Linked DNA regions of Xenopus tropicalis. The protein of the gene in region 7 interacts with the protein of the main gene of each other region in a pairwise test. Links are inferred from orthologs where the notes say so. Each region holds a gene or a part of one and is shown on either strand. Other genes may lie near its edges. The genes, in order: mipol1, marchf3, rnf125, dtx3, rnf111, traip and ube2k.

Evidence for each region.
Region 1: the proteins of ube2k (region 7) and mipol1 interact in binary tests that used the Homo sapiens proteins (3 or more experiments, as listed by UniProt). The two-hybrid records come from large-scale screens. The link is inferred for Xenopus tropicalis from reciprocal best matches to the Homo sapiens genes UBE2K and MIPOL1.
Region 2: the proteins of ube2k (region 7) and marchf3 interact in binary tests that used the Homo sapiens proteins (3 or more experiments, as listed by UniProt). The link is inferred for Xenopus tropicalis from reciprocal best matches to the Homo sapiens genes UBE2K and MARCHF3.
Region 3: the proteins of ube2k (region 7) and rnf125 interact in a two-hybrid assay, tested with the Homo sapiens proteins (2 studies listed by BioGRID and IntAct). The link is inferred for Xenopus tropicalis from reciprocal best matches to the Homo sapiens genes UBE2K and RNF125.
Region 4: the proteins of ube2k (region 7) and dtx3 interact in binary tests that used the Homo sapiens proteins (3 or more experiments, as listed by UniProt). The link is inferred for Xenopus tropicalis from reciprocal best matches to the Homo sapiens genes UBE2K and DTX3.
Region 5: the proteins of ube2k (region 7) and rnf111 interact in binary tests that used the Homo sapiens proteins (3 or more experiments, as listed by UniProt). The link is inferred for Xenopus tropicalis from reciprocal best matches to the Homo sapiens genes UBE2K and RNF111.
Region 6: the proteins of ube2k (region 7) and traip interact in binary tests that used the Homo sapiens proteins (3 or more experiments, as listed by UniProt). The link is inferred for Xenopus tropicalis from reciprocal best matches to the Homo sapiens genes UBE2K and TRAIP.

Annotation. Positions count from the first base shown.
Region 1 is NC_030684.2:108,842,435-108,846,683, forward strand, and holds the start of mipol1 (mirror-image polydactyly gene 1 protein), read left to right. Parts: upstream 1-1,449; 5' UTR 1,450-1,715; exon of another isoform or gene 1,716-1,775; intron 1,776-4,249.
Region 2 is NC_030677.2:168,227,726-168,231,225, forward strand, and holds part of marchf3 (E3 ubiquitin-protein ligase MARCH3), read left to right. Parts: intron 1-2,555; coding exon 2,556-2,757; intron 2,758-3,500. UniProt on the Homo sapiens protein: E3 ubiquitin-protein ligase which may be involved in endosomal trafficking. E3 ubiquitin ligases accept ubiquitin from an E2 ubiquitin-conjugating enzyme in the form of a thioester and then directly transfer the ubiquitin to targeted substrates.
Region 3 is NC_030682.2:111,864,566-111,868,065, forward strand, and holds part of rnf125 (E3 ubiquitin-protein ligase RNF125), read left to right. Parts: intron 1-1,418; coding exon 1,419-1,572; intron 1,573-1,739; coding exon 1,740-1,834; intron 1,835-2,349; coding exon 2,350-2,449; intron 2,450-2,677; coding exon 2,678-2,782; intron 2,783-3,500. UniProt on the Homo sapiens protein: E3 ubiquitin-protein ligase that mediates ubiquitination and subsequent proteasomal degradation of target proteins, such as RIGI, MAVS/IPS1, IFIH1/MDA5, JAK1 and p53/TP53.
Region 4 is NC_030678.2:140,823,432-140,825,863, forward strand, and holds part of dtx3 (probable E3 ubiquitin-protein ligase DTX3), read left to right. Parts: intron 1-2,098; coding exon 2,099-2,316; intron 2,317-2,432. UniProt on the Homo sapiens protein: Regulator of Notch signaling, a signaling pathway involved in cell-cell communications that regulates a broad spectrum of cell-fate determinations.
Region 5 is NC_030679.2:99,170,622-99,174,894, reverse strand, and holds the start of rnf111 (E3 ubiquitin-protein ligase arkadia), read right to left. Parts: upstream 2,801-4,273; 5' UTR 2,638-2,800; exon of another isoform or gene 2,556-2,637; intron 1-2,555. UniProt on the Homo sapiens protein: E3 ubiquitin-protein ligase. Required for mesoderm patterning during embryonic development. Acts as an enhancer of the transcriptional responses of the SMAD2/SMAD3 effectors, which are activated downstream of BMP.
Region 6 is NC_030680.2:126,179,261-126,183,205, reverse strand, and holds the start of traip (E3 ubiquitin-protein ligase TRAIP), read left to right. Parts: upstream 1-1,145; 5' UTR 1,146-1,174; coding exon 1,175-1,272; intron 1,273-3,127; coding exon 3,128-3,185; intron 3,186-3,945. UniProt on the Homo sapiens protein: E3 ubiquitin ligase required to protect genome stability in response to replication stress.
Region 7 is NC_030677.2:36,220,906-36,224,876, reverse strand, and holds the start of ube2k (ubiquitin-conjugating enzyme E2 K), read right to left. Parts: upstream 2,801-3,971; 5' UTR 2,690-2,800; coding exon 2,627-2,689; intron 1-2,626. UniProt on the Homo sapiens protein: Accepts ubiquitin from the E1 complex and catalyzes its covalent attachment to other proteins. In vitro, in the presence or in the absence of BRCA1-BARD1 E3 ubiquitin-protein ligase complex, catalyzes the synthesis of 'Lys-48'-linked polyubiquitin chains.

The DNA.
Region 1 (4,249 bases), on a different chromosome or scaffold from region 7:
AATAACAAAGTAATAAGTGTTTATTGAACATCCACAGGGTTTACTCACAATACAGCTTCAGAGGCCATTGGTACATGCAACACATACCGAGTGTATATTCAGACTCACACTCTCCTGCGGGCAGACTGGCAGGAATCTCCCTTCACCTCTGCGACACACCCTGTAGTGGATCCCTCAGGGAATTCTCTATCCTGATTCCCTATTCACTTGGATCCCTACACTACAGGCAATGTGGCCTGGGAGAAATATCTCCAGAAAAACTGCAAATCCTATGCAGGAGCTCAATGCTGCTCATTCTAGCTCAACCCTAACTGCCTTACACTCCTAGAGTGTACTATAAAGGGAGCTACACCTGCCACTATCTAATGCCTCATTCACGAGGTCCTGTTCCCCCGACATTACTGGGCCTGGGCCCATGCCCTGGGCTCTCAGCACACATCCACCTTGTCCCTAAGGTGGAAGCAAACAACAGGAAGGTGCCACTCCTCTCCCAACACTATACCAAAGTCACGCAGGATGTGGTCACTATACCTTCTAACCAATAGCACACATATTAATGAACTCACTTAGATACATTCCCTTCTGCCCAGCAACTAAGGGAACTAAACCTGTAGGGATTTAAAGCCATGGGGACCATTTAACCCTATGGGTCCCAACATTTGCTTTGTGTGTCTGGGTAGCTAGCGGCTTATAAGCAGTGACTAGTAAGTTACCAGCAAACTCTGCAACCAAGGGTCCCAGAAAAGATCTACATCCCCTGGCACCATCCAACCATGCTGTCAAATCCATTAGTTCATGGGTGCAGAAAGGATAGTGTCATAGCAATGGGGGAGGGGGGCACCCCAAACATTTTTCTGCAGGGCCCCAGGAGATTGAAGTTATGCTCCTAATTATAATGGCTTGTGTTATCTTGAATTATTCTCAACAAGACGTGCTAATAAAACAGTACTCCTGTGTGGCTTTCCAGCTTCATTATAACTCCCATCATCCCCTGATGGGCAGCACCCTGGCCTGCATGAAGATGCCATGATAATATCACAAAACATGTCTATTAATTAAAACGTATATAAATATCAATGTGGCTCAGCTAATTATGGGGTGGCTATCAGCTTTCGTTATTAGATTAGTCATACTGGAGATATATAGAGTTAATGAGAAATACATATATTATTACCCATAAGCTGTTTCTCTCTGATTGTTACTGAGCTACATACAGAAATAGAGTAAATAGCACTCACAGGTACGCCGTCTTTAAACCCAGTGGGAGCTAGGCACAAGCATCCCCCGCCCACCCTGTGCCCATGCAGCCACACCGGAATACAAGTAGGAAATTAGAGGGAAGCAGGAACAAGCAGGAAATTAGAGGGAAACCACGCTTGAACGCAAAGAAAAGCCTCTCTGCTATCAAAGCGCCATCTAGTGAGCAAATGCGGAAACGACAACTTAGTGGAATTAAAAAAAAAACTTTATTGAGAAAAGCGGAAGACGTAAAGACCAAAGTATATCACGTTTGTGATTTACATGTATCTGATGTGTTACTCCGCAGTCGATTTGTGCTTATCTCTTATTTTATTTCGCTAAAGTGCAAGTTGCCTCTTTGATCCGTAGGCAGCATTCTATCACACAGAAAGGTTTCTTGCGTTCCACTCTGGTTTTGCTTCGACTTCCTGCTTCTTGTTTTCCGGTTTGGAAGAGTGGATTGGTGCATCATTTAGGTGAGTGCTGCTTTTTTGTCTAAGCATATATTTGCGGAGACCTGAGCACTGCGGGGAACGGTAAATGTATGGGCAGTGGGAAAGGGTTTTTATTTGTTTTTATAGGGAATGGATAACCGTGCGGTGAGGTGAGCTAACAGAAGCCAGTCCTGGGTGGAGGATACTGCTCCCCTTAAAAGGCACAAAGTTTGCCCTGGTGCAGGAACCTATAGCAGCCAATCATATGTTTGCTTTTAAACAGGTGACCATTAAATGTTACCTGCTGCATGGTTGCTGTAGGTGACTAGACCTGTTGCAAACCTAAAGCTTCTAATACATAACCTTGGTATCTGTTCACTTGTTCTTCAAAACTGGTTTGCAGCTAAAGTTAAAATGCCGCTCAGTGTGTGCTGGAAGTGGCTGCAAATCCACTGAGATGTGCTGCTGATACTTCTACTGTCTGAGCTGCTTACCTGCACCATGCATATATAGATTGTAAGCTCTACGGGGCAGGGACCTCCATCCTCTTGTGTCCTCGACTCTTAACTTATTGCAACTGTAACTGTATCTTGTATTTATTTGTATTTATTTTTATACTTTGTATTTATCTATTATCTTATTAACCCCCTGTTTGTATTAATGTATTCTACTGTACAGCGCTGCGTACATAAGTAGCACTTTATAAATAAAGATATACATACATACATACCATGCAGCTTGCAACACCACATTCACATCCACATGAAATGATAATATAAGTCTATATCATTAGTTATAGCGTGACTTTTCCCCTGTTCTAAACATGTTTCATTGAATTACATTTATACAATTCAAATTCAATCATATTATTTACCTACAAACTGTATTTCTGTAGGCCACCAATAGGTGTCAGTGTTTCCCTCATGATTTTTATCTAAAGACATGCACTGTATATTGAATATGTTTTATGAAGTAATAATGACCATCAGATCAGGCAAACCAGGGAAAAGGCATCCATAGGCATATCTCACATACTTTATGTTCAAGTGTGCCATCTGCTATATCTTTTTAATCACATCACTTTTGTCACCACTTTTATATGATTGGTTTAAGCAGGTATCAACATTCCCAGATCCTAAATTAAATTAGATGACAATCAGTGAGGAGACTATTCCCTATTCTGACTGCTGTAGATAACAGTAAAAATGGGATAATTTTTTGTGGCCAACTGCAGACTGAGATCTGATTTGGCCCAGCACGTGGGTGCTGACCAGGGGTGTAATTATAGAGTAAGAAGACTGTTCGACTGGTGAAAAATGTTTTACATTGAAAGTTTAGGAAAGGGGTCGTAAAATGATCAAGCAGTAACTTCTAGTATACCACTTGCACCAATGCACCAATAACTGTTTGCACACCGGTGAGTGCTCATTTGCTGCCAGGGATACAAACACTTTAAAATGAATGTACCCAAAAGGAAACAATTGCATAACAGATGCTTTAACTAACTTTGAACTACACAGGCCCACCCTTCTATGGATCTGGCAGATAGTCATCCCCTGTGTGCAGTTGATAGTAAAGGGTTGGGGGGAAATCTAGTTCTGAAACCTTTTTTTCTTCTTTTTTAAATTTCTTTTTATTTCAGGTACAATAAGGAACAAACACAGTCCATGCAATAAGCGAATAGAGACACCTAACAGTGTAAATCTAGTACATTACACCATGGGAAAAACTGCAAGTTAATAATGTACCATTAGAAATCTACACTTGAGCAGGCAAAGGGGGATGCAAGATTAGAAAAGGAATTAGAGAAGAAAAAGGGAAGAATACAGAGAAGCAAAGAAAAAAATAGGATGGTTAAAAAAGAACCTGAATTCGATCCCCTTGGTACATACCCCTTCTTAAGGCATAGCCAGATGGATAGGTGGATCTTGCAACACTGGTCTACTTTCATACCATGGTTTAAAAGCAAATGTGGATTTGTATTTTAAGATCTAATGGCAAGGTATCAATGTACGTTTAGTGTACGAGTTATACAAGAGCAGTAGTAGCCTCTAACACATATCTAGAAGGTTTTTATATGTGGCTGATCTCATAAGCAGTGGAACAGATCTCCTGTTGTGCATTTTGGGCAGGCTGAGCAAACATTTAGGGGCAGATTTGTGATTTATCAAGCCAAAAGTTTGCCATTGTAATAAACCCATGGAGATATAAATGTGGTCAAGTATAACTAATTAATGCATAAGCTCCTGTGATGTGCCGAAAGGTGGAAGTCATCTAAGCCAAGGCTGTCCACCTATAGGCCTGTGGGACAGATGTGGCCCTTTAAGGAATTTTTATGGTCCCTACTCTGCTCCATAGACTTCACTGTATGACATCTTCATTTTAATTCATCTGGCCCTCCAAAATGTTGTATGAGATATAACTGGCCCACTATTTGTAATGTGTTGGACAGCACTGATCTAAGCCATTGTCACAGTCTACAAGGGCACAACCCACTTTAAAAACTAACATTTTTGGCCTGAGAATAATAAAAACTTTGTGTATTTATGTAAGAAACAAAGCAATAGTCTCTTATG
Region 2 (3,500 bases), about 130 Mb from region 7:
ACTATTTTTCCCAGCATGCATTTATTAATGCTGGTTATCATCATAGCACTAACTGCTATGCTATATTTTTATGTTTGGATTAAAATGAATAGTCTCCATGCTATATTTTTATGTTTGGATTAAAATGAATAGTCTTTTCCAATCACTCATCATATTCTCTTTAGGGGATTCCATATGTCTGTGCTTTTGAGCTGCCCTATGGCTGCTTTATTCCTGCAGGATAAATGTAGATCCCTACAGCCACAAGCCAAGGCACACAAGTTCCTAAATAAATGCCAGGCTTATCCACCTTTTCCCTGAGAACTTAGATGATCAGTTCCAGACATGCCTCAGTGCTTACTCCCATAAATACACGGAGCTACCCAACATTCCTGCTTAGCATCTAGTAGATGTGTGCTGTAATAGAATAGGAACAGAGCACTGACTGATCTGACAGCATTAGGCACAGTACAAAATGGTACATCATCTTATTGCATACAGAAACCTAATGCAAACTGTAGCTTTGTTCATATTTAAAGAGCCTTACTAATCTCTCAGTTAGCAATGCACTGCACCTAATCATATTTCCATGGCTATATAAAGAAATGCCATTTTAAAAATGAGACAGCCTAGATCTTTTCTTTTTATTAAGCTTAAAATCTCCCAGCCTGCCGCATACATAGATGCTGCTAAAGCCTGTAATGCTTTTTGACATGCATTCAGAGCTGGAGCATAAAGGCCTGCATGTTCTCTCAGACAACAGAATATCTTCTTTTAAACTGTTGGCATAGGATTTTAGAAGAAGCATCAATCTCGCTGGTGTAGTTTAAAACTATTTTAACTAATTAACTAACTAACTATAAATTCCATATCTCACAAAAGACAGTGCTGTATAAAGGGCCCATAGCATGAAAGAGCCAGTAGTACAATGAAAATTCACCTATGTCTAATCACTTCTTCTGCATTATCTGTAGATAGCTTGGGTGTCTGCATTAAGAAAATAGTTTATTTGCAGGAAACATGACCCAACCTAATACCATGTATGGATCTGTAATCCAGAATGCTCGGGACGTGGGGTTTTCCAGATAATGGGTCTTTCCATAATTTTGATCTTCATACTTTGTCTACTAAAGAATAAGATAAACTTTAGATAAACCCAATAGGATTATTTAGCTCCAATAAAGATTAATTATATCTTAGTTGGGATCAAGTACAAGGTACTGTTTTATTGTTACATAGAAAAAGGAAAATAGTTTTAAAATTTTGAACTGTTTGGTTAAAAAAGGGTCTATGGGAGATGAGATGACCTGTAATTCGGAGCCCTCTGGATAACAGATCGCATACATGTATATCTAATTTCCAGAGTGTGTGTGGAGTCAATAATGGACTTTGCCCATGTGGAGCACAATGCGTATAGGGAGCCCAGTACTCTGCACTGAGTGTCTGCTCGAGGCAGGTACAAAGTAAGCCAGAACATGCTGCACCTTTTGCCATGTATACATTGTGCATATAGGGGAAAGTACCTTCCTAAATTCTACTTTTAAGGACACAGTTCTCATCCTGTTATTGAACCATGCCCTGTGTTTAAATGAGCCTTCTATACTGCTGCAGCTTGGTAATAGACACTGGAGCCTCTTGTTGTGGCATCTCAGGAACACTTTGTGAGGTATGTGTACTGAAAGCACTGAGAACTCCTATTGGAAGCTTGTCTTGTCATGTATATGTAGAAGACTTTTTTGCATTTTTTTCTTGCGACATTGTGTTGTAGTTAGTTTGCTGTCTGCATTTGTGGGCTTCAGAAATGTGCTTGCTGTTATGTTCCCCATTCTTTTATGCTTACTGAAGCTTATCCAGGTGTCTTGTCCTAGCTCAAATCTGGGGGCAACATAAGAACAAGGATCACTGGCAGAATGGACTTATGCACCACCTACCTGGCCGACTGTCAAGTGTCTATCCAAAATGACTAGTGATTTGGCTGACTGCCCCAAGCTTAATAAGATGTACTTTATACATTTATTTACTTCAATATATTGGTGTGAGATGCAGGGCCTTCCTTTAAAAGGCACAAGAGAGAGAAAAAGAGAAATTAAAAATTATTTTCTGACTTAGAAAAGGGTTTTGGATTATTTGGATTAGATTGGCCTACAGCATATTCTAAAGATGCTTTAATGTATTTGTATTTTTTAAAATTAAAAAGAATACTGTGATTGTAATTTTACAAATACAATAAAGTAAAAAAAGCATTCTTATTGATGGGTTCTGTGACCCTATACAGTATTTTGTTAGTGTCGGGCAATGTTAGGCCCACTGGGAACAAAGTTGCTGCTATTAGGGGTCCAAGTCACGCTTGCATCTAGTTTGTGTGCTCAGGGGATCACCTGGAATAGCAAGTGAATTATTTGGAAATGCCAAGCCAGAAATAGAACAGCGCTTTTCTTGCTGCCATTTCTATATTTTCATCTGCAGAGCAAATCACAAATCTAATTTTCAGCCATAATTTCTCTCTCCACAGCTATCATTGTAGAACTACCTCAGAAGGATCATTTTCAATAACAAATTTGCTTCTTTCACAGCAGCTTCAATGACCGCCCAATGTGCAGGATTTGCCATGAAGGAAGTACCCAAGAGGATCTCCTTTCTCCATGTGAATGCACTGGAACGTTAGGAACAATACACCGAAGCTGCCTGGAGCACTGGCTTTCCTCCTCTAACACCAGCTACTGTGAACTCTGTCACTTCAGGTTTTCTGTGGAGCGCAAACCTCGGCCCTTAGTAGAGGTCAGTAAATGCCCAGCAGCGGGAATGTCCATTTACTAATGAATTCTCTTTATTTTGATATATTAGAATATTCTTATTAGGCACACCATTTACCTGCTAGTAAATATATGAAATACACATCATTTCCTATAAATTACTGCTTTCTTTTAAAAAAAACTTCAGATACCACAGCAGCTGCTCATCCTCTAATACCACTTTTCAGTGATAATGATAATCTTATTGATATGCTGATTTTCGGCTTAAAGTGCTGAAAGTGCTGTACAGATGCAAAATAAAAGAACACCATTATAATAATCTGCTGGGCGTGCCTGTAGCATGCTTTCTGATGGATCACTGAGGAAATCAAAATGCTGTAGAAGAATGCCATGCGGTTTTATTTCCATGGAAAATGTTGAACTGCTCACATTAGGGAAGGGCTACGCATGACTTGCTGTTACAGTGACCTGGGATTTCCCAAAGTATCATCCAAAAAATGCACCCACTCACTTTGTGCTAGAGAAAGCAAAAAGTAGAGTCTTTTGTATTGAGACAGAAGTATCATTCTACAGTTCATTTGAACCCTACAGGAAAATGCGTGATGCCATCCTCACTCACTGCTTAAAGGATAACTAAATTTTAAAAATGAAGTGGGCTAGAAATGCTACAGAAAATACCTTACCCCAATTATAGTTGTGGTTTTGAACCAGCCAAAAGCAACCGCAGCCCTTTATCAGGGAAGAGTTGTGCCTGCAAAGATGCCCCAG
Region 3 (3,500 bases), on a different chromosome or scaffold from region 7:
TTCAGGCATCAAAGCAAATGTCCTGGGTAAGCAAACAATAAATAGTTTAACATTTTTAAAGTAGTAATTAAACCTAAAGGTTAGAATGTTTGACATGAAATACACTGGACAAGATAATTTACTAACAGTTAAAACTAAGGGGCAGATTTATCAATATACGAGATTGGAGCTCACCACAGAAAAGTTTACCCACTTTTCATTCCTATGGGATTTGAAGAAGTTTATTTAATCAAATTGTGAACTCTAGCTTTCACCCATTGATAAATACGGTTTTAAAAATCCCATAGGAGTGAATAGAAAGCAGGTGAATTTTTCTGTGGTGAGCTAAATATGCCCCTGAACTTTGCCCATGTGAATGCTATTCACAAAGGAACTTGCATGAGTGCTTATGATTCATATCACAGCAGAAGCTGGTTCTGCTTTGCTAAGTAAGGTGCATAGCACAAGTATACGAAAGTACACATCAGGTGTGCCCTGGAATTAAAGGGTTAGTTCACTTTTAAAAAAGATTGACAAATCACTTGAAAATTCAGGGGCACTTCTAATAAACACATCTTGCAGGGCATCACAGATTGCTTTTGATTTAAATTGTAATCTGTGCAGCCAAATACATTTACTCTTCAGCTTATGCCACACTACGCTTGAATCAGCATTCTTCTGTGTCTGCACCTGGAGTGGATTTTGGCTACTAACCAGTCAATGGTTTGAATGAGGGACTGAAAGATAAATAGAAGAGGGTGAAAAAAGGAAAGAAAAGTAATAAAAAGTTACAGTAAAATTATTGCCACAGAGAGCAAAAGTTTTTTGGCTGCTGGGGTCAGTGACCCTCATTTGAAAGCTAGAAAGAGGCAGAAGAAGCAGCTAAATGGTTCAAAAGCTATAAAATGAATACCAATTGAATAGTTGCTAAGAATAGGCCATTCTATAACAGACGAAAGATGAATTAGCTCTTTAAAAACTGCATGGAGTAGATGTTATTTGCAGGTCTCCCTTCATGTATTGCACCTACGAACACAAGTGCTTTATACCTAAAGAATTGTATGTTAATGCCATTTTCGGCACTGTATGCGTTTGTGTGCTGGAAATCCTATTCGCCCCACGAAGCAACAAAGCAACCTGAGCTTGACAAACAACATGTGTAAGTTGTGTCACACAATTTTAAGGTGCCCACAATTAAGCAGAATAAGTAATCATGGTTAAAAGACATTCCTTCTGCATAACGGACCCCATTGGTCTGTATGTGCTTACTAAAAATTACCATCTTATTTCCTTTGTATTTTTAAACTACATTTTTTTTAACAGTAATTAAGCAGTTTTGTGCTGCAGAATAGAAAATGTTATTGACCCTGACAAGCTGCTTAAGAACTACATGTCCCAAACGGATTGTATTATTCATTGATTTTATTCTCTTCATTAAGGTTTTGCCAAACTTGCATTAAAGCTAGTCTCCGGAATAATACATACGCCTGCCCTTACTGCCGCACTCACCTATCATCTGAAGGAACCCTGGCTGTGGATATAATGAAGAAGATGAAGACTGTGTTTCAGAATTGTGAAGAATGTGAGGAGAAGGTACAAAAAATATCTTGTATATGAGAAGCAAGTGCTGTGTGCTAAGTGCTCTAATGGATGCAGTTATTTACACCCAATGCAGTATTTTACCTAGAAATCACATCATTGGTATATTTTATGTTTATGTTTTTTTGTATTTTCAGTTTTGTTATTTTTTTATGTTTTAGGTGTGCCTGAGTGATATGAGGGCTCATTTAAACATGTGTGAGCAATACATAACAAAATATGGTCCCCTGGAGGAACTTGGAAGAACTACGTGCAGGTTTGATATTTTTACTTCCCAATAATACCATTCAGCAGACTCAGCAACAGCCCATTTGCTACCCATAGCCAATCATTTATGTCACAGAGTGCTGTTAGCAGTGAACCAAAAAGTGGCTGTTGAAAAAAAACAATGGATGGATCAGTGTTCTTAATCTGATCAGTTGTGCAAATACAGGTGCATTCCTATGCACACACACCTGCCACTGGGAATTAGCCCTCAATTCTCACTTAAGGAATCCTTGTCAGTGATTGCAGGTTGATAGTTTATATACATTAATCCCCAATTACTACCTAACGACCTTTGGGACTAAGGTCCTAGTAAACAATATGTTAACATGATAGCATAGGTACGGCATGTGCAGGCAAACAGAGAACAATTTGTTAATTTAGAGCTTAAATTGAATATATGCTTTATAGAAAGATGCTAGAAACACAGGTGCAATTAAAGGAATTAAACCCGTGACACTGTTTCATGCTTTACATAACTGAGACCCTGTTCACTTCTGTTTTTAGAGATGAAATGTTTGCATGCCCATTTTGCCACCTGGAATTTGACGAAGATGGCCTTGTGCAACACTGCTTTACCTACCACAGCACAGAAAGCAGACTGGTGGTAAGTACCTTCATATTCTTTTTAACTTTCCCCCACAACAGGGGCTTGAGTAAAATAATGTCTTTTTGTTGACTATTACTTGACCATTGAGTCATGTAGACCTCTTTTATAAAGAGCTTAAATATTTTTTTTAATTACATTTTTGTGAACATGCCACTGTATTTTGTGCATTGAAAGGTAAGATTTGTTGCAATCTGTTATAATAAATTTACTTTTGTAAAATTTTAGGTGTGCCCAATTTGTCGCCTGATGCCTGGAGGAGACTCAAGTTATACAATGAGCTTTTTGAGGCATCTTCATGCAAGACACTCCATATACTATGAAAATTACATAGTAAGAGCACAATTAATTGGTTTATTGCAATATAAAACTGGCAATGGCTTTAAGACAAGCAGATATCCTTTTATATTGAACTATAAGTGGAATGTTTAATGTTAACATGAAGTTTAGTGTATCATACTTTATAACAGAAAAAGCAAAAGAACATATGCAACATGTACAATAGTGTTATTTAGATATGATGTTATGGATGTTGGACTAGGGTGTTTAGGGCCCCAACTTCAAGGACCCACAGCCCCTACCCTTTCACGAAACACTGCACCCCAGCAATGTCCACCCAACCCAATGCACCATGTACCTTGTACTTCCTCCTTATCCTGACAACTTGCAGCTGCTGAAAAACCTTTGGGGGAGCCTGTAGAGATCATGGCAGGGAGCGGGCCTAGGTCTGACGGGCCCATAAGGGCTGAGGCCTACCAGGTTTTCTCCTAATGTTCCACTGGCCCATTCTGATCCTGGAGCCACACATTGAAACAGTAAACTGAATCTCAAGTTTTCCAGCCCAGGTCAAAAGTAACATGCCACCTTGCCTTTTTACTTACAGCCAGGAGCTTGCCATCTTAAGGTCCCCATACACGGTAAGATCCGCTCGTTTGGCGAGATCGCCAAGCGAGCGGATCTTCCCTCAATATCCCCACCTACGGGTGGGCGATATCAGGGAGCTTGATGTTAAAAAAATAAATAATCTGATCGTTTGGTGGCAATAGGGCAG
Region 4 (2,432 bases), on a different chromosome or scaffold from region 7:
TCCACTCACACAGTAGATATACAGCAAAAAAGGCATTAAATTACTTTAAGGAGAGCGGCCAGTGCTGAATACAAAGGCAAAATGTTTTAGAACATCTAAAGGCACTGTCATTTTGCTTATCAGCCTACACCTGTTCTGATTTGAATAAGTGTGGTAATTGTTTAAAGGTTTCACGATTCATCAAATCTTCTCAACAATGAAATGGAGGCAAAGCTGAAAATGTTCATTTTAATTCCGTAAGAAAAAATTATACAGGCTTGTGTCAGAATTCCAGCCACAATCATCTGATTTTTTTTTAAAATGAAGGTTTCTTTTAGATTTGTTACCTACTTGCCCTTCACTTACAAAGCATACGTTCTGGAAAATGTATTAGGCCTGATTTACTTTACAGCTGGGAATTCCCCCAACCACAGGCAGTACCAGAAAGATTTATATCAATGACAAGATCTTCAGAAAACAAAGTCACAAGCATGAAATTGCTTTTAGCTGGAATGCTGATGTTAAAAAAAACTTTTCCAGTCATTCTCATGAACACTGACACATATGTGCTCTCTTTAGCGTATGTTTATGGGCATAATTGCGCAAGCTGTAGGTATCACCATTCAGGAGAAATTTGTGTTGGTTCCAATTTCACATAATAAAATCATTCATGAAGGCACTGCCTAGAATTACTGGCTGGATGTTTACAGTTTGTTGCAACATTCTCATTAGTTGGGAATAGTAACTCACACCAAATGTCTGTTTGTTCATTGCACCATTTAAGGGACCATAACTCTGTTGGAGCTGTTTGTAATCATTTCTCTTTCAGGCGCTTCCAAAATTTCACTTTTAAGAATTGGTGCCTTCTTTGTAAGTTGTCATCTTAGATTTCTAGGGCAAATCATTAAGTTAAGATGGAATATTGCATGCCAATGAATAACCATAGAGTTACACGAGCCAGCCAGAGGCCAAAGACCAGGGCAATTCAAACTTGGGTGGGCAACCTACTGATCATGTGTTCAAACATATTTTAGAGCTCATTGACAATGGAGGGGGCAAGGTGCAAAAAAATTATACAAAGAGCTATGTTTTAACCGCACGCTTCCTTGTGGTTCGCCTTATTGTGCTCCTGAAATGGACCGCAGAGAGCTGCGCCTCACTCATTGTCTAAGTTTTTAGCAATGCAGGGTACATCAGAAGCAGAATGTATAATAAAGTAGTAGAATTCTTAATTAATCAGATGAAAAAGTGGGACTGGCCAGACCGGGGATTACTTTGACATACAAAGTTGATAGTAAGTACAGGTATAGGACCTATTATCCAGAATGCTCAGGACCAAGGGTATTCCGGATAAGGGTTCTTTCCATAATTTGGATCTTCATACCTTAAGTCTACTAAAAATCAATAAAACATTAAATAAGCCCAATAGAATTTTTTGCATCCAGTAAGGATTAATTATTGTTGGGATCAAATACAAAGCACTGTTTTATTTTTAAATAGAAAAAAGAAATCAATTTTAAAAATCTGAATTATTAAAATGGAGTCTATGGGAGACAGGCTTACCATAATTCGGATCCCATACCTGTACCTTAAAAAAAAATACACACACACACAATAAGCATTTTGTGCCTCCCTATTGTTAATTTTATCTGTAAATGTATAGAGAAAGCTAGCACAGAACCAAAAAAAAAAAAACACCTTGCCTAGTGGTGGGAGAGGCCCTGGCCAGTAGATCTTTGTCCATTAATTGGCTAATGTAACTAAACATGTATGTGTGCTCTTGGCTTGATCCCAGGAGGCGGCCCTTAATTCTTAAAGGTGCAATTTTCTATTTAGGGTTACCCAATAGGACATACTGATAAAAAGTATATTTTTATGAAAATGATTTATTTAGATGAAGCAGGGTTTTACATATGAGCTGTCTTATGCAATATATTTTATAGAGACCTACATTGTTCGGGAGATATGGTAATATAGGTTCTTTTTATGTCCTGTTAATGAATAATGCTAACACATGATGGAATCTATAATTCCATATAAAAATTAGATCCCCTTTTCTGTCTGACGGACTGTGAGCAGCATAGAATGAATTTACCAATATATCATTTCTTTTCTGCAGTCAGAGCACCCCAACCCTGGAGTAAGGTATCCGGGAACAACACGTGTGGCTTACTTGCCTGATTGCCCTGAGGGAAACAAAGTTCTAACGCTATTTAAGAAAGCCTTTGACCAACGTCTGACCTTTACCATTGGGACTTCAATGACTACAGGGAGGCCCAATGTCATAACGTGGAATGATATTCACCACAAAACTAACTGCACAGGAGGACCACAGCTGTAAGAACCCTTTGGATCCATCACTAATTCCCTCTGCCTGTCATGTTAGCAACTGATCCAAATTTTTTAAAAAATTGTTGCAAAAAAAAAAAAAAAAAAAAACAAACATTTTTTTT
Region 5 (4,273 bases), on a different chromosome or scaffold from region 7:
GAATAAGGATGGTTAACAGAGTAACACACTAGAATTTAGATACAAAGGATCATAAATGAGGAATTCAGGAGTTGGGAAACTGCTGGTGTCTACAATTCAAAAATACTGTAACAGATATATGCGATTGCTGCCTCTTTCATATAAAAGTAATACGAGTTGAAACAAAGACGTTTAAACCTATGACTAAGTGCCCCATGTAGGCACAAAACTCCCCAGCACTGTTAAAAGGTGTTGAAACTTTTTATGAAATTATTAAGCAGCAATATTTGATTGTGGTCCAGTTTGGTGCCAGTCTATCTTTGTAAAATTTAAACTGGATATCTCCTTAAAGCAGTTCAGTGTAAAAATTAAACTGGGTAAAATAGATAGACTGCGCAAAATAAAAAATGTTTTAAATAAAGTTAGTTAGCCAAAAAATGTAATCTATAAGGGCTGGAGCAGGCAGATGTCCAACATAATGGCCAGATCACTACTTCCTCCTTTACAGCTTTCTAAGCTGTTAGCAGTCAGTAACTTAAGGGGGCGGGGGATGTGGGACATGACTGTTCAGTTAGTTTGCATTTTAATCCGACCTGCATACTCACAAATTAACTGAACAGTTATGTCCCAAGTGCCAAACCCCCCCCCCCCCCCCCTTTCCCTAAAGTCACTGACTAACCAAGAGGTTAGAGAGCTGACATCTGTCCACTCCAGCCTTTATAGATTACATTTTTTGCCTAACTATATTGCAAATATTTTTTATTTTGTGCAGTTTATCCATTTAACCCAGTTGAATTTTTACACTGAACTGTTCCTTTAAGCTGAAGGTCTGGGACAGGGGCACTTTAAGCTATTTAAATGACCACATTCCTCTATTTGTATGAATTATAGAACATTATTCACCTACATGTCAAAGCTTTTGTATAACTGCTTTTTGTCCAATATTTAGACATAGTTGAGGGCCTGGAGAAAAGATCTTAAATGTCACATGTTGCATAGCAATATAAATACTAATATTCTTTTTATAGATTACTAGTAAAGGCAAGACTATTAATTTCCAAACAGATGTATTTCTCTCTGCCTAAAATGAGCCGATGACTGCAAGGTAAGTAAACACTAGGCCAACACATAAGGGCCCATTTATGAAAGCACAAATTTTTATTTTCAGAATTTTTTTTTTTTCTAATTTATAGAACTTTTCATAATGACCACGATAATATCATTAAAACTGCAATACTTTTTCGTTAACTTCCATGAAAAAGTCATATTTTTCGCAAAGACTACGACCATTGCGGAATTCATTCAAGCTTTGGTATAGTGACTATCTTTTGGCCAGGTTGGATCTGTAGAGTGCCATTGAGTCCTATGGAAGGCTTCCAAAATCATGCATTGAAGTTTCAAAGCCAGAAAGGTTTTCGCGCCATTTACGATTGTTTGGATCCAAAAATGTTGTGACTTTCGGATCGCAACCACGATATTTTCTTACGACCGGGAAAAGAAACTGACATTTTCAAACATCAGAAATTATTGTGGTTACTCCACATTTTTTCCAATCGTGCTTTTCACCACCCAAAATTCGTGCTTTAATGAATGGGCCCCTTAGTTTTTCCATGGGCTGGTACATTTTCCACCGAAAAGGAGCAATGGCCTGCATAAAAACTTAGTGATTTAATCAACTCGGGGGGTTCCTAACATTTTGGTACACCTCAGCAAAACAGGCTTTCCTTGTCCTTTAATAAGAACTCGAAACTAACCAGGATATGCAAATGCAAGTATTTCTTTTCAAATATCTGAGAGCTTACTTACAAATACAGTTACTAAACAGCACAAGTGTAGCTGCCAGTAACAACCAAACAGCTTAGAACAGGAACCTATAAGTTACAAAATGAAAGTAATGATACGATTTGTTTTGATATGTAACTGCACTGCCAACTCAACATTTATCATTTTAAATGCCCCTTGATGAATATCCAAAACAAGATCCAAACAAGAAGCACAGGAACAGGAAGTAGCTTAAGTGCAAGAAATTATCCAAAGAACACATTCCCTTTAAGGACAATGACAGATGTGGCATTTTGTCCCCAATGGTTTGCAGCGATGGCAAAATGCCTACAAATTACCTCCGTTTGTGGATAATGAGAATCATTGCAGATATAAAAGTTAAATCACTTAACTGCACAACTAAATTCCTTATCGGTTATTGCCCTTAAAGTTGAAAATGTAATTGTGAGATTGTGTCTCTTCTAACTGGGAACCTATTCCAGATCAATAGCACTCTTCATGTATGATGGTTATTCCCTTAATACGAGCTGCTCATGGAGAGAAATTGTGTTTACATTTTAATCAGGTACAAATACATTTCACCATACAGAACCAAAACAAATGGCCATGAATACAAATACTGTACATAAGTGGCAAGAAGCCTGCGAACACATTCATTAAGATAATAATACTAGTGTCAAGCCTATATTAACCATCCATATATATATAGATATAATACAATCCTGATTATATATAAATAACCAAGGCTTCCAGGAAATGAATGTAAAAGATGCGATGTTGAGCAGTTATCATACCTCCCTCAATACGAAGCGTCTAGCTCGCTAGGCCCGCCCGAGAAGCCCGACTGCAGTAGCGAGCCCGCCCCGCAGCACATACCTGCTTCAGCCTGGACATGAGCACGTTAGTCACTCCGGACTCGTCGAGGTTCCTAATCTTTAGCTCACTTTGGATCAGTCGTAATGGCCAAGGAAGCCATGTTAGGTAGCTACCTTTGGACACTAAGATGCCGCCGAGTCACGTGACGTCGAATGCTTGCGCCGCAAAACCCGGATGGTACAGTCACGTGGGCTGCTAGCGCCTCCCTCCTCAGCGACTCGCTTGTTGTTTACGTGGTGTGGTAGCGCTGATGTGCGCAGGATATTTACCACTAGGAGATGGTGTCAGCTCTCGCTGATATATTTCTAAGAGTATATATATATTTTTCCCAAATGCAACTCTAATTTACTTTTAGGCGTTCCCCTAAAAGTCAGACTTTTAGTTTATGAACCCTTGCATTACATCTTTTAAGCTTGTAAGCCATAGTAAGCTTTACCTCAGGTATGACACTTGTACTGTTGGACCAATAGAACATATCTAGTCCTGGCACTTAAAGGACAACTAAAGCTTAACTTAAGTAGTGCAGAAATGTTGTAAATTATATTTTAAGCTTATGCACCAGCCCAAGACAACTGCAGCCAATTAGTAGGGAATATCAATGCCCCATCTTTTCTGCTGACTCAGGTCACATGCTCTGTGCTTCTGTCACTTCAGGGACCCACCCACAGCATACGGTATATATAAGATATAAATGTAACAGTATAAGGTTGATGAGTAAATAATACAGATTAGTGCAAGGATGTTCTGAAGCCGGTGTAATCTGCATGAGAACAGTAGCATCACCCTCAATGACAGGCAAACATCATTTTCTGCTTGAGAATTTGTGAAGACCCTCTAAGCCAGGGGTGTCAAACTCAATTGCACAGGGGGCCAAAATCCAAAACACACTTTAGGTGACGGGCCGAACAGGATAAACATTTAATGAACACACTAAGGCATACCTCCCAACATTTGAAAAATGAAAAGAGGGACAAAAAGATTTGGCGCGCGCAGCGCGGCAAATTTTTTTGACCACGCCCCCTTTTGTGGTCACGCCCCAATTACCACACCCCATTTTTAAAAAAATACCCCTTTTATATAGATCAAATGGCGGGAGCAGACGCAAATGTGCTATACCCTCATACTGAACGACCTAAGGAAAACAATACAGCAACTCCTACATTAAAATACAAATATAGAGAGAAGGCAGTCAGTTATAAGTGAGTTATAACTAAGTACCAGTTTTTCCCCCCCATACACAGTAGCCCGCCCCATACACAGTAGCCCGCCCCATACACAGTAGCCCCCCCATACACAGTAGCCCGCCCCATACACAGTAGCCCGCCCCATACACAGTAGCCCCCCCATACACAGTAGCCCCCCCATACACAGCAGCCCCCCCATACACAGCAGCCCGCCCATACACAGTAGCCCCCCCATACACAGTAACCCCCATACACAGTAGCCCCATATACACAGCAGCCCCCCCATACAAAGCAGCCCCCCCATACACAGTAGCCCGCCCATACACAGTAACCCCCATACACAGTAGCCCCCCATACACAATAGCCCCCCATACACAGTAGCCCACCCCATACACAGCAGCCCGCCCCATACACAGTAGCCCCCCATACACAGTGCCCCTATACACAGTAGC
Region 6 (3,945 bases), on a different chromosome or scaffold from region 7:
CAGATTTTGCGCAACATTCGGAATGGCAACGAAAAAGTCGCGATAATTTTCCGAAAAATCGCCAAATACCGATCATTACGAAAAAAACGCAATCGGATGCATTCGGCCCGTTTGTGAGTAAGTAAATGTGCCCCCAAATGTCTTTAGAGGTAAATAGGTAAGGTTTATTAGACACGTACACGGGCTCTGAGCAAAAGTTAGTCAGTACTACATAAAAAAGACAGCACAGGGTTTATATAGACTTTGTGACAGTAACATATGTCATAAGAAATGTATGAGCATAGGCGTTACCAGTGTACACGCATAGAAATATCTGAAAACAAGGTCTTTGCCAAATAGGTGGGTCTGTCTTCAAGGCTATAGTTGACGTAACTAAGGCTAGCTAGAGAACAGAATCCGCCCAATTTTTTTTACCAGCCAGGCGGCAATATCTGGTACCGCTAGGTTTCAATAAGAGACTGTATTGATCATTAAGAACGAGTGTCTCTCAGTATCGCCTCAGCGATGAAGAACGCAACAGCTGCATATTACAGGGATGCTATTAAACAGCTTAAGTATTGAACACAGATTTTGTTCAATTCTTTTAATTTCACCAAACTATACCGCCAGTTTCTAATAAAAAGACACAATGGGGTATATTTATCATGCTGTGTAAAAAGTGGAGTGAAGCATTATGGGTGATATTGCCCAGGGCAACCAATCAACTATTAGATTTCAACCAAAAAATCAAAGCGAAGCATCTAATTGGCTGCTATAAACAACATTACCAGTGATGTTTTACTCCACTTTTCACACTGCATGATATAAATATATATAAATACAGTGTCAAATGAACACATCCCAGAACACATGGCTTAATATACACAGCGCCAGCTTCAACTATAACGCCCTAAGAACATATAAAAGGCATATACGCCATCACGTAATAACATAATAGAAGTTTTGCGTAAAAGCAATTGTAGTAAGTAACCCGTATTTCCAGAGAGCGCAGTGACGGGGTTAAATGTACGTCATTTCCGCGGGTTTAGCCCTTGACCAATGAGAGGAGACGCAGGTAGCGTACGTGACGTTGCTCTTGCAGCGGCAAAAACAAACGTTGTTGTGGCTGTTGTTCCGTCACGGTGTCCTCGGTTGGGGGAATGTTGTTGTGACTGAGTCCAAGGCGGAGGCAGCCATGCCCATACGTGCCTACTGTACAATTTGCTCGGATTTCTTTGATAATTCGCGGGATGTGGCCGCGGTTACGTGTGGGCACACGTTCCATCAGGAGTGGTGAGAGATTCGTTCTGTTGCGTAACAGCACGGCATTGCCATGGAAACAGCGGGAAAGTCTGGCATTATACATGTCATAGAGCTGTATATATCCCCCAGCATAGGCTGGATTAAGGGGGGAGGGGGCTGCATTGTCAGAGCAATATAAGGAGATAAGTTTTGCTATAGCTGTCAGCTGCTGTGTCCTTGACATAACAACAACCCACATGGAATGGGGAGCAGACTGGCTCATCTCTTGCATCTAACAGCTGTGCAGCCTTTGCCCACTCCATAGCTGTTTGTCACCTCTTATTGCTGTTTTGCATGTATTAGGGTGGCCACACACGTGGCGATCTGACGATGTTTCACACGAAAACATTGTCAGATCCGCCACACACCGTCAGGGCTGAAACAGCAGATAAGGAGATAGAAACAATAGGACTTCTACCTCCTTCTGCCGATTCAGCCCTGACGGCAGATTTTGGTCAGGTGCCTTCTATGGCGACCGATCAAAATCTTTTAACCTGGCCGATCGGCGAGTCGTCCGATATCAGCAGCTTCCTGCGATATGGGTCGACTCGCCGACTTGCCATACACGCACCGAATATCGTACGAAACGAGGTTTCGTACAATAGTATCGGTGCGTGTATGGCCAGCTTTAGGCTGACATTAACATTAGTATGTCTCTTCCAGCTTTCAAATGGGGCCACTGACCCAGCAGCCAAAAACTATTGTTCTTTGAAGTTGCAGGGTTATTTTGTACTTTTTAATACTTATCTTTTTGTTCAGGCCTTCTCCTATTAATATGTGTCTCTCATTCACACCCCTGCCTGGTTATGAATATAAATGGAAGCCTAGCAACCAGACAAGCAGCAGAAATTACAAACTGGAAAGCCACTGAACAAAAATGTATGTCCAATGTATGAAACCCACTTATTCAACAGCGCTGTGGAATGTGTTGGTGCTTTTTAAATAAATGTTAATAAATACTAAAAGCTAATTTAACGACAAACTTTTCCATTAATGACATATCTTATGATACTATGCATTTGCTGCATTCTTAGATTCTAATCAGAGGTCTTTTCAAAGGCAAACGCAGGGGCAGTCTGATGTTTCTGTTAGTTCAGAAAGCTTTGTCAGGAAGACCCTAAGCACTGGCACTAAACCTCTTTAGGAAATGCTTTATGGGCACAGGAACAGATGCCTACACTACACTGTACTCTGGTACTGCTTTGCTGAGCATGGGATACCAGCTAGTTCCAAAACACAGCAACCATTTGTTACCACTAAAGAATAGTAGTGACCCCTTCAGATTAAATTGCAGCAACTTGGCCCTTTCTGCAAGATGTGTCACATTTATTAACTGACTTCTAGCTTGTAATCATATCTGAGCCCAGCTGTTCCTACTCTTTAATGTAGAACTTAAGCCTGTATAACACACTGTTCCCCTCATGGCACCACTGGGGACCCCTTTTAAGCTTACATGTTTGCTATACTTTGTTCTTAAAAAATCTGAGTTGCGCAATGGGGTTGCCAGGATCTCTTCAGGTCCTCCTTTTAGTTATCTTCTGACAGGAGCATGTGCAGTTGAAGCTAATGCAGACCTGGCTTCAATTGCACATTCTTGGTTTCAGCATTCATATAAAAGAGGAGCAGCATGAGATGATGTCTGCCAACACCAGAGCACTACTCTACCTCAAAAAAGGTACAGCAAATGCAGAAGTGGAGGTTGGGGGCAGTGGTGTTTTAAGGAGGGGGGGACAAGGTATATTCCAGTAGACTGGAATCTGTTACAAGCTAGAAGTCAGTCAATAAAATTATAGTTAATGCCCCCTGACATTGTTTTGGCCTAACAAATCTCTTTTGCATTACTTAGCTTGCTCCAGTGGTTTCACTCGGCTCCACATCGTACCTGTCCACAGTGTCGAATCCAGGTAAATTTAAAAAAAACTTTTATCTTGATTTTATTGCAAAATGTCACACTCTTAGGGAACACACTGTATTTGGGTATTTATGGGAATTCTAATTTGTATTCTTGGATATTTTAAGAGCCATAGCAGGGTAGTGAATTGTCTGAAGCTGTTCGGGAACTAACCAACAAAGGGGGCTGGAGCCCAATAACAAAACATAAACATAAGCAGTAGATGGTGAGGGTACCTCGCCAAAAAGTTTACAGTTTATTGATCTGAATTGCACAATATTAAAAATATAAATCACTAGCAGTCCAGAGACATCTCATCTACTCTGACTGTAGGGAAGATTTTCTAGGTTGAATGGCTGAAAATCCTACCAAAGCTTGCAAATTAAAGCATCCTATCTCCCAAGATAAAACATAATTATGAATGCCAGGTATCTTCTGAGCAGTGTGATGCCCAGTATGCATAGGATCATCTAAGTATGTGGCATGTAAAGGTCCCAAAATGAAAACATAGGGATTTGGCATTTACTGCATTTTATGTTTCAGAAACATTTTGCAAAAAAACTAAGTTCACTCCAGAGAACTAATATATATATATATAATATATATATTTTTAAGTACACATTCTGACAAGTGCAGAATTGGTTAATATGAATTTCTGTTCAGCTTCAGTGCTTTACATATCCTTACATGCAAAGATAAAATGTCCTAAATATGGTTACCAATGTGTGTGGCATATGTAGTGACCCCAAAATTAACATGTAGTGCATACATAT
Region 7 (3,971 bases):
AAAATTACTTTAGAGTGTTATTCCCCTTTTAATAATTTACCAAATTCCAATAAATACACCAACAATAAAGAAAATGAAAATAAAATAAGGGGATATATTTTTCTACTAAGAAGTCAAGACAGCTTTTGTGGCTGCTTGTAGCCATAGCTGGACTTATCTATTTGCACAACTTGAGCAGACCCTCGTCAAAAAAAAAAGCAATGTGTATTACTAAATATCACTTAGTATCACTGAGATATTATGTGCATTCTAATCCAACTAGCTGCACCAGGTTCAGCCTAATAAAAGGTTCAGAATTTAAGGTGTCCATACATAGGGCAAATACTGGCTGCGATTCTTGATTGAGTCAGCAGGCTACTGACCCATCTGGCAGATCAAATACATTAGCCCTATGTCCAGGGCTAGGAGCTTCTGCTGCTCATGGAGAAAGTAAAATTGCAGAAATGACCACTAAAAACCTCTGGTGAACACTGCAGCTTAAGCTAAGTGAAGACAAACGGGGTGTAGTGCTGCATGTTATGATACTTTCTAAAAATCTTTTGTGGCCCTTGCTTAACCTAAAATAAATGGAGGACAAAGAAGAAATAAGCAATTACTTTATAACATTAGAAAATGTGTATTTCTTAATATGGTGAGCGATATTACTAATCCTAATTTGTAACTGCAACAATTTTTAGATGCAGCTTCTCAATGAATGGGCAGCACGCTGTCTCAAATGAAAGTTTCTCCATAAAGTGGCAGGAGGATATGCGGCAATGCCAGCCTTTGATCTAGCGCACACGAGAAAGTTACAGTTAACAAATTTGCACTCCACTGTTTCACAGAGTTACCCAGTGATTATGACCAGAAGCCACATATTTACCAAAGATTGAATCTAGAAGTCATCATAGTCTGCAAGAGTGAAATTCTGCTACTCTTTATACATTAATATGAAACTTTAGAGGGTATATTTATCAATACATATAAATGAGTTTACACTTTGATAAATATGTTTTCACTAATTGAATAGAAATTAATATAATGAGGGAAATTTCACTGTGGCTGACTATGGCAAGCTGTAGTTTAATACTTTGATAAATATCCCCCTTTGATTTCATTTCTGAAGTTTCACTGAATGGATTTCAAGGGCCATTAATAAGGAGAGAAAAAGTTGGAAGGGAGAGCCAGAGGGAACTGCAGTCTTTTCTACACAACTGTCCTACTTTTCCATGTCTCTAATACAATCCTTTAGTACCTTCTACATGACTCTAAACACTTCTGCAGCCCCACTCTATGGCAGTCTCTAATAAACTCCTGTCAAATCGTTCCAAGGCAGTCCCTAATACACTCCCATAAAAAAAACTCCATGGCAGCCCGTGATACACTCATGTCAAACCTATCCCTATCAATCTCTAACATACTTTTGTAGTAGTGATGAGCGGGTTGACCCACAACCTGCATTTTACCCTTAGGTCAGGCAGGTTAGGGTTGGGGGGTGTTGTGGGTTCAGGTTGGGTGTGGGTCAGACTAGGGAAGCACCTCTGCTCCTGAACTTTCCCTTCCTTGGAACCTAAGGCGAGAGCAGCAAACAATGTAGAAAGACGCAAGTACGTGTTTTAAATGCAAATCCTATATCGGCAACAATTTGTGGGATACGGTCAGTTGCAGGTTGACTTTTTCCTGACCCCCACACCACTATCTTGTAGTCTCTTCTGCAGTCCCTTTCCATGGCAGTCTCTACACAATCCTGTAGTCTCTTGATGGCAGTTTCCAATTCACTCCTATAGTACCTTTCCACGGCAGTCTCTAATACACTTCTGTAATTCTCCTCCAAAGCAGTCTCTAATACACTTCTGCAGTCCCTCTCCAAGGCAGTCCCTAATACACTTCTGCAGTCCGTCTCCAAGGCAGTCCCTAATACACTTCTGCAGTCCGTCTCCAAGGCAGTCCCTAATACACTTCTGCAGTCCCTCTCCAAGGCAGTCCCTAATACACTTCTGCAGTCCCTCTCCAAGGCAGTCCCTAATACACTTCTGCAGTCCCTCTCCAAGGCAGTCCCTAATACACTTCTGCAGTCCCTCTCCAAGGCAGTCCCTAATACACTTCTGCAGTCCGTCTCCAAGGCAGTCTCTAATACACTTCTGCAGTCCCTCTCCAAGGCAGTCCCTAATACACTTCTGCAGTCCGTCTCCAAGGCAGTCTCTAATACACTTCTGCAGTCCCTCTCCAAGGCAGTCTCTAATACACTTCTGCAGTCCCTCTCCAAGGCAGTCCCTAATACACTTCTGCAGTCCGTCTCCAAGGCAGTCTCTAATACACTTCTGCAGTCCCTCTCCAAGGCAGTCTCTAATACACTTCTGCAGTCCCTCTCCAAGGCAGTCTCTAATACACTTCTGCAGTCCCTCTCCAAGGCAGTCTCTAATACACTTCTGCAGTCCCTCTCCAAGGCAGTCTCTAATACAGTCAAGTAGTCCCTCTCCCTATCAGTCTCTAATACACTCCAATAGTCCCTCCCCATGGCATGCCTGGCTGTGGCAGCCTTCTATACTACCTCTTTAGAGCAGTTTACTGGATTTATCTTAAGCACACTGTCACCAATTGTTGCCCCTCATTGTATATAGCCAGACGCACTTCTGTCTCCTCTCACCTCTTCGCTTTTGAGCACCTCCTTGAACTCCCTTTTGATCCTCTGTGCTGCGATGTTCGCCATAATTGCCCCAGTTTCCGTACTTGACTGAGTCACCTTAAATTGCTGCAGTGCACGTTAAGTACGCCAGGCTTCCTCCCTCCGTGCAGTGCCGGCCCTGTGTGCTCTGCCTCCCCCGCCCCGCACAACGAAACCTAGCACAACAGTACACTGCAAAATGGCGAACCTGACACATGCGCAATACAAGAGTCTGGGCGGCCCACAGGAAGAACTTCCTGACAGGGTCCCTGCTCACGTCACTTTGGCCCGCCCCACAAATGAGACGTAACAGCGCGCCACAGAATCCCCGGGCTCCATTCATGCAGGGCTCAGTCACGTGATGTGTCACTGGACCCCAGCGCTAAACAGAAGAGTCGTGCAGTGTTGTAAAGTTTGGCTTTAGCAGCAGATTTCTATGAAACCAAAGGTCGTAGCCTGCCAGAGCTATGCAATTCTTATTAGAGGATGGGCTGACTACCTGCCCCTAGTAAGCATTTGTCTCAGCAAAATAGATATGCCACAACATGCATTAGTCACCTGACTCGTATTGGAAATCCAGAAGTTCCTGCTTAGTCTGCTGTATGGGAACTTTTTGTTCTCTTCCTTTTCAAAAGTCCTATGACTGGTCATGACCTACATCTGTTATCTAGAAAAAAAATAAAGCAGGGGCATAACTACAAAGGAGGCAGACCATGTGGTTGCAGGGGGGCCCTGGAGTGTAGAGGGCCCAGTAAGGGCCATGACACATAGGGAGATTAGTTGCACCACAACAAATGCCATCCCGTGGCATACACGGCACTGCGATATGCCGAAGTCACCGACATTTCCTCTCAAGGCGACTTTGGCAAATGGCGGCGCTGCGTATGCCATCCTACCGCTGATTTACATTGTAGCCGGTGGGATGGCATTGCGGGGAGATTAGTCGCCCGCAACAACAGAGATTTGTCATGGCAGCTCTAATCTCCCTGTATGTCACGGCCCTGAATAGTGAGCAGTTTTACTATATCTTGATAGGATAGGTCAATTTACCAACGATTTGGGCCCCTAAATTGAATTCTTTTGGGACAAGTGACATCTATTCATGCCACTGGTTGTGTGCATTTTCCTAAGCAGAGATGCTATCTGGATAATATAGCAAAGGCCAGCCAGTTAAATGATACATGCCACTACAGTTATTAAAGGACAAGGAAAGGCTAATACCTTGGGTGGTGCCAGTTACTTAAAATAAATGCACCACCAGAGATACCTTGTGCCTCGATTTGAATTCTATATCTGTATATCCATAGTTCAGTTAATTTTCTGGCTT